Coturnix japonica: one gene and its partner. The protein of the gene in region 2 binds, or shares a complex with, the protein of the main gene of each other region. Links are inferred from orthologs where the notes say so. Each region holds a gene or a part of one and is shown on either strand. Other genes may lie near its edges. The genes, in order: EXOSC10 and DIS3L.

Region 1 (4,343 bases), on a different chromosome or scaffold from region 2:
ACTCGAGGTGAATCAGCAGCAGAAATGTGACACCTTGCTGAGATGAGATGTTTCACTGGCAGCTTTGATAAAGGCAGATCTAATCGTGTATCTCCTTTTCTAACTTATTAGGAAAAGGTATCTGTAAAGTCAAGCAGACTTACAGACCAAGCAACAAAACTCCTCCTGCCAGGGGGACTCTCATGGAAATTCAATGGTGGCAAAGAGAAGCAGCAGAATATCTGTTGGGAACAGATTAGTTACTGTATACCAACAAAAAGATGTTGTATGCTGACCAAATCTTACACTGCACATACATAAACAATGGAGTCACAGAGCAATCTCATCCAAATAGTCAACATCTGCTCCTGCTTGCTTTTACAGTCAATATTTCCTCTTCTGGATTGTCAGGACAGATTTGTGTCAAACACTCTCAACTGATTACCCATCAACAACAAAAAAACTTACCTTCAGCCAATGGTTTCAAAGCATTTGGCTTGATAAAAAGCTTAGGTACAAAGGGAGTGTTGGAATTGTCAATCTTTTCTCGAAACTTAAGCTGTGGGCGAGAGATATTCTTGGCATGGAGCAGTCGGAAGGTTTCAGACTTAGATCTTTTGTGGTATTCTCCTGCCTATTAAAAAGAAAGCAAACCAACATGACTTAACAGACATCCAGAGCATCTTCCATTCACTGACCCCAGTACTGCGAGAAAAAGGAGGTGAGTGAGGACATATGAAAAAGTCCAAGGGAACATTTAACTACTAAAATCCACTGGCAAACTGCAGTACCAGTGCTGGGAAAAAGAGCAGCAGCCTCACCTTGCGGTTCCAGCTGGAAACGATCGTCTGTGGCACCTGCAACCCAGCAGGAAGGACAGGCTGCTGGTTTTTGTTCACTCCTGCTGCTTCATCCAGTAAAATACCCTAAATTCCAGGAAAAAAACAACAAAAATGAAAATCAAACACCCGCTCAGTTACTGTACTATGCTAAACATTAAACATAACTGCAAAAGCACTAACAGTAGAATTATTTTAACAAAAAGCACTTGTGGTACCTGAATACCTTATACAAGTAATGTTAAGGAATGATTTGCTCACCACTCTTTCAAGAATGATGTCATTGGAGTCAACCAGCATATCAAACTTATCTTCCAGCTCCGTGACTTTGCTGCGGTCTTTCATGTGGCTGCGGCAGCCGTGGTACTGCATCACCCTGCTCATGCTTGCAAGAGAACAGCACAGTTATTATGGATTTAAACAATAATAATAACAACAATAATAACAATTAACTGAACACTGAACCATGCAATTCTTCTCAACTTTCTACATCGCAGAAGTTTGAAAGCAGATCAAATGTAATACTTATAATAACATACAAAAAGCAAATGTATGAAACACCTACATGGTGCTAAGAGTTATTTAGTACTAATAGGACTGATTTCTTTATGAAACAACTTTCTAGATCACAGAACTGTTTGGGAGGGACCTTTAAAGGCATCAAGTCTAACTTTCTTGCAATGAACAAGGACACCCACAGCTCCATCAGGTGCTCAGAGCCCCTTCCAGCCTGACTTTGAGTGTGTCCACAGATGGAGCATCACCACCTCATTACTCTCACAGTAAAAAACCTTGTTATATCCAGTCTAAATCTCCCCTCTTTTAGTTTGAAACTCATTCCTCTTGTTCTATCAGATCTGTCCCCTTTTTTCTTATATACCCCTTTAGATACTAAACGGCTGTTCCCAGAGCATTTCACAACAGTCCCCACTCGCAGTTTGTTCCCATCAACACCATTAAAGGCAACTCAGCTAAAATTCGACACATGACCTAAAACATCCTTTTTACCACCAACCAGCCTGGAGATTCCATAGAATCCCCTGTCTGGGCCTGGCAGTTGCCGGGGCTGTGATGTCTCCTTACCATTGCAGCAGCCGATGTCCCTGAGCTGCACAGTACGCCCTGAACCCAGGGAAGCTGCGGTAGAAGTCGTACTCATCGCCAGGCTGGGGCAGCCCGCTGGATGCCTTCGTGGTGGCCACCATGGTGCCGAGGGCGTGCTGTGTGAGAACACCGTGTTAGTGCATTGCCTGCCCTGCTGCACACTGTGCTGACAAACCTCCATCCCTGTGTGTGTGCGAACAGTGCGGTTACATCCAACACATCGCAAGGCCTTGGTTTGTTTGGGTGTTTTTTAACACGACTAATCACAGAATCACACACAGAATCACAGAATGACCCGGGTTGGAAGGGACCTCAAGGATCATGTAGTTCCAACCCCCCTGCCTGGCAGGGCCACCAAACATACACCTTTACTAGATCAGGTTGCCCAGGGCCCCGTCCAACCTGGTCTTGAACACCTCCAAGGACGGGGCATCCACAACCTCCCTGGGCAGCCTGTTCCAGGGCCTAACCACTCTCCTAGTGAAGAACTTCCCCCTAACATCCAACCTAAATCTTCCCTCTTTTAACTTAAAACCATTTCCCCGTGTCCTGCTATTATCAGCCCTTTCCAAGAGTTTACTCCCCTCCTGGGAGTAAGTTCCCTTCAGGTATTGACTAAGTTGGCAGTTGTTTCATTCACACCATCTCATCAGGTTAAACAGAGTAAAGCGATAACAACACTACGCCTGTCGTGCCAGGATTTACGTTTAGAGAGAGGTTTATCAGCACAGACGCAGATCTGGGCTTTATTTCAATGCCAACCACATCACGGCACCGAGTGACCGCACGGCCCGGCGGGAGCTGTAGTGCACGGCCCCTTCCCGCTTCACCCCGCCCCGCACCTTCACGAAGGCGTCCACGTCGTCGAATCCCGGCAGCACCGTGGCCGTGCTCCCGTCTCTTTCCGTTTCCACGGGCGGTCCCCCCTGCCCCCCTTTGCCCCCTTGGGCCGCGCTGCTCCCCGCTACCGCGCAGCCGTTCCCCTCAGCCACGGCGGCGGCCATCTTGTCCCCTCAGCCACCAGACGCACGGAAACTCTCGCGAGAGCTTCAGGGCCGAGAGAGGAAGATGGGAGATGGGCAACGCATGCGGGCGGGTAGACAGTACCAAGCCTTATACATAGCGCCCCCTAGCGGCTGGCGGACCGCGCTGCATGCGACCCCCACCCACCCCAAGCGACCCCTCCTGCAACCTGTTACCTGCATCCCTGTCTCTTCCTAAGAGCTACTTAGGAACAAACAAGAACGCAGCCCCACGGTGCCACGTTTTGCTGTAATTTATTGGCACAAAAATATCCAAATACAACATGGCATCTAAACATGGCTACTCTGTTGTATTTTGTGCATTGTTTTTATTCATAATTCACGACTTCCTCCACTCCCATGTTATTATTATAACCATTATTTCATTTCAAGTTATGACCAGCTCTCCCCCTTTTGCCTCCTATGCCAGTTATCACGTTCCCCTTTTAATCTGCACACAGAGCTCCCCAGCGGTGTCTCATTGCACTGCTCGATCTGCACAGAGGCACCTGGTTATGGTCAGATGAAGGTCTGAAATTCTTAACATCTGCTCCAATATTCCATTCAGGGCAGCAATCCATCTGCAAATGATTCATTTACTTTGCAAAGTAATTCCAAACCCGTATATAGTTATATTTACCAGTTCCCCAAAGACCCAGTGGAACCATTGACACCTGCAGTACAATCAGTCTTCACTGTCCTTGGAAACCCAAATCAGCTATTGTGTTCCAGACAGCTCGTGTTTTTTTTCCAATAGCAGCTATAAATTGGCTTAAACCAACTTGTTAATATACAATAACTCTTTCCATTTACAGTTCAAACTATTTGACAAAGGCTGGATATCAGTCCAACGTTCAGTTTGTGTTTGTAGAAGAGCAAGTTTGGAGCGCAAAAGCCTCCAGAATAAAAAGGCTGTGGATACTTTGGGATCTTCTGTTACCAGAAAGGACACCTAAAAGGAAACAAAAATAGGGTGGTGATGCTCAGTGCAGCTTCACAAAGGCAGTGCTGAGAAGGACTGAGACTGCCAAGGCTCCGTTTAGAAGACATAGTATAGGAAATAGTATAGGAAAAGTTGGCAGGTGATCCCCCCACACACAGCTTAAATGCTTAAAACTAAGGACTGTTTCCTTAAGCATAGTCTGATGTTATCTCTCTCAAATGACAAATGTGCAACTAAATCATTTATGTTTGCTGCAGAATATGGAGATCTTCACTGTAACTGACATCAGTGACCAACATATGCCTTACTTCCAACACTAAGTGTTCAGGTTGACTGCAGCTTTAATGCTCTACATTCCCATTACTCCTTATCACAACTTACATTCTTACAACGGTCTGTCTAAGGGATCTCTGCCATAAGCCTGCAAAATGTACGAGCTCATATGCAACATGTGGT
Region 2 (3,305 bases):
TCTTTGATGCAGGATACATGATAGAGAATGGTGTTATACTTGAACAGGAATCCTGGATATTTTTTTAACTCACCAAGTAGTTGTGTGCGTTTCTTATGAAATGGAAGTTATTAAATTTCAAAAGTCAAACAAATTCTTGCATGAGGCAGTTTAAATTCAACTTCCCAATTTGTGCAAGTCATCGCACATTGTGTTTTGGCTTTGACTGAATTAGTCTCACTTTATCTGATCCTGTTTCCTGGCTTAAAGCTCTGTACTGTCACAGTACTGTCTTCTTCCTCTCTTATGCGATAGCTGCAGCAGTCCAGTGCACTCTTCTGCTCTGTAGAATGAATGTAGTTTCAAGGATGACAGCTGTGCCAGAGCCCTGAGAATGCCTTACCCAGCAGCATAGAGCAGACTTGCTCAGCCCTACCTGAGGCCCAACGTTGCACATAAGGCAGGTGAAACAAGTTCATGTCAGTGGGTTGTATATGATGCCAGTTGTGCAGCTGGGGAATTGTGCATAAGGGAGGTTCTGGGTTAGTGTGACTGAATTCATTTTGTGTGAACGTAGGTATGAGTTAAAACTCAATAGAGTGGAAAAGAACCACCAGTTGTACTAATTAGGATGATGGTAAAGCAATACTTTAGGTTTAAGAATGTAATGTATGGAGAACAAGGGTAAGCAGGCTTTTTTTCATTGAACGACAAACAAAAGGATTCTCAACACGGGTTTTAGTCTGGAAGGTAACATTTATCACATAAAAAATCTTTGTTGCGCATGCTCATGATCAGCTACAAAGAGATCTTATTTAAAACAGACAATTTATCTCATTAAAATGACTTCATTTTTAAAAATATACAAATTGTACAAAGTAACTGTAAGCAGAGCATCAACAACTACATGCATCAGCTGAGACATCTAATAGAGCCCAGTCCCTGATCTCCTCCAGCAGCTGGTACAAACTTGCTCCCTTTGTCTGGCAGTACTCCTGATACTCCGGACACTGTTCTTCAATTACTGCACTTCTTGCTTTTTCCTGGGCGCTCAGCGCTTCCGCAGACTGACTGACTGCTCTGACTAAGTCAGATTTCACCACGCCAAAATTCTTCTTGGAAATTTCTGTGGCTGAAGTCTGGAATGGGGCGTTCTTGATTATTTCAAGCTTGATTGTGTCAGCGTGGCAGCGGGAAGTCTGCACGAGTATCTTCACCTTAAAAGCAATTTAAAAATCATTTTATTGCTGACTATGCTATTTCCTTTTACTTTCTTCAAATTAAGTACTCACTGTGATGTGATCAAAGAGGCTTAATGTAACCGACTCTCCAGTGGTTGTAGTGGAAGTAATTCTATTCTGAAACCGCTGAAGTGATCCAGGCTTCCACTCACAGCTTCCCTCACCTTGACAAGACAGGACTAAGCCTTCCTTGTTTTTCATGTAAGCAGCACCTTTGATTCCATATCTACAAAAAAAAGCAGGTGTGTAGGCATGAGCATAGAAATCCTTCAGAAACCTTCTCGGTTACCTTGCTAATTTGAGCAATCCTTTCTCCATAGCGTCTCCTTTTCAGAATTAAAACATGGAAAAAACAATGTTCATGACTTACAGAAAATCTAAAATGCAGTCATCAGTCAGTGCTTCATTTCTCAAGGACCAGAGGTGACCTCGCAGCATTTCAGAAGCAAATGTCTGATTTTTAGTCTCAGTCCAAGCTCAAATCAACTTACCTTGGCACGAAAACAAGCACACCATTTGTTCGGATCGAGTAGATAACTCCATCTGCTACGCAGCGCTCATCTGTTTCTGGGCTTTTATCTTTGAAGTACATGCATTGGAAGAGTTCAGTAGACTGTTTCTGAGCATGCTGGGCTGCCTGCAGGCACCCCCCACAAAAAGAGAAGACAGAAGGACAGGTAAATATTCTCAGAAGCCTGTATGGCTTTGATATTATATATATTTTTTCCATTACTTATTCCCTAACCTGCTGAAAACAAATTGTATCTAGAAGGAGTGTTGCAATGCTGTAGTACCCAAAAGTCACAGCAGAGCGGTATCCTCTTTCCCTGGGTAACATGCAAACACAGACGCACACAGTGACCACCTTACCCTGTTCCTGTTGTTAATGTGTTTGCACAATTCCTCAAGATCCTTGTTACTGAATAATTTCTCCTTAACATCCTTAGTTTCCTTCAGAGTTGCTGCCATCAAGAGTCTGTGGACAACTATATCAGCGTATCTTCTGATAGGAGAAGTAAAATGAGTGTACTTATCTAAAGCGAGTCCTACAAATAAAAAAGGAAGCGATGAAAAGCAATCAGAGCATTCAGCTGCCCCACAGCAGTTCAGGAATAAGGGGAATTTTATAACAAATGAAAGTGTCAGGATACCATAATGATGAAACTCTTCCTCAGAACAAGAGCCAGTTGAGAAGTACAATGCATTTGACATTGCTTGAGTGGCCATAGATCGCAACAGCTTATTTACAATTGGATCCAATGGATCTTCCGCTTTATCCAGGGACTCAGCCAATGCTTTGTTAGACCTGTCAAAAAAGTGTTAATTTTATTCAGATTTATGTTACCCTGATCACAGTTAAAGTGTGTTAAAGTGCTTAAGAGAAGCAGTAAAAGATACCGTGTGTCTATTGAGAAACCTTTGGCGCTGGCACATTCTTGAAGGTCAGTAAAAAATTCCTGCCGTGGTGGAGGGTGTTGACGTAACAAAGCTTGATGAGGAAAGCTTTCTGAAATCTTTTTTGCCACCCAGTGGTTTGCAAGGATCATACATTCTGCTACAGTCTCGTGTACTTCCAGGGGCTGCTTGGGGATGAGATCATGAATGTTTTTTTTATCATCCAGTTGCACTCGGACTTCTACCCCTTCTAGTTCCAGAGCACCGCAGCTGTCCCGCTCAGCTCGAATGTGTCGTGCTATATCGGTGAGTTTTGATATCGCCCAAACCAGCTCAGACAATTTCTTCTCTCTTGTTTTTCCATCCAAGTCTTTCAGTTCCAGGATCTCATCAACAACACTTGTGTCCCCATCTAATAACCCCTGTGCTACTTCGTAGACTAGCTTGTATGCAGACCGAATGATGCTTTTGTTGTAGCAGACTTTCAGTATCTTGTACGATTCTCTTTCTAGTTCCCACAAGACGCTGACAGCGTACCTTAAAAATAAAACCCACAATTCTTTAAGCAGTTCTGGTTGACTCAACATTTCGAGCACATCCAACTGTTGCAAACTTACAGATTTCATTCTGTGCTGATTTTCTTTCCACATCTGTTTTGAAGCACCATTACACTGCAATAGTTTATTTCAG

The links.
Region 1: DIS3L (region 2) and EXOSC10 share a complex: the UniProt entries of both Homo sapiens proteins name them as parts of the RNA exosome complex. The link is inferred for Coturnix japonica from reciprocal best matches to the Homo sapiens genes DIS3L and EXOSC10.

Annotation. Positions count from the first base shown.
Region 1 is NC_029536.1:3,559,650-3,563,992, forward strand, and holds the start of EXOSC10 (exosome component 10), read right to left. Parts: upstream 2,952-4,343; 5' UTR 2,927-2,951; coding exon 2,765-2,926; intron 2,039-2,764; coding exon 1,902-2,038; intron 1,204-1,901; coding exon 1,080-1,203; intron 906-1,079; coding exon 801-905; intron 614-800; coding exon 448-613; intron 1-447. Other genes in the region: serine/threonine-protein kinase mTOR, read right to left, coding at 3,881-3,896. UniProt on the Homo sapiens protein: Catalytic component of the RNA exosome complex which has 3'->5' exoribonuclease activity and participates in a multitude of cellular RNA processing and degradation events.
Region 2 is NC_029525.1:16,731,710-16,735,014, reverse strand, and holds the end of DIS3L (DIS3-like exonuclease 1), read right to left. Parts: intron 3,153-3,305; coding exon 2,619-3,152; intron 2,527-2,618; coding exon 2,372-2,526; intron 2,267-2,371; coding exon 2,091-2,266; intron 1,858-2,090; coding exon 1,712-1,857; intron 1,447-1,711; coding exon 1,272-1,446; intron 1,197-1,271; coding exon 876-1,196; 3' UTR 716-875; downstream 1-715. UniProt on the Homo sapiens protein: Catalytic component of the RNA exosome complex which has 3'->5' exoribonuclease activity and participates in a multitude of cellular RNA processing and degradation events.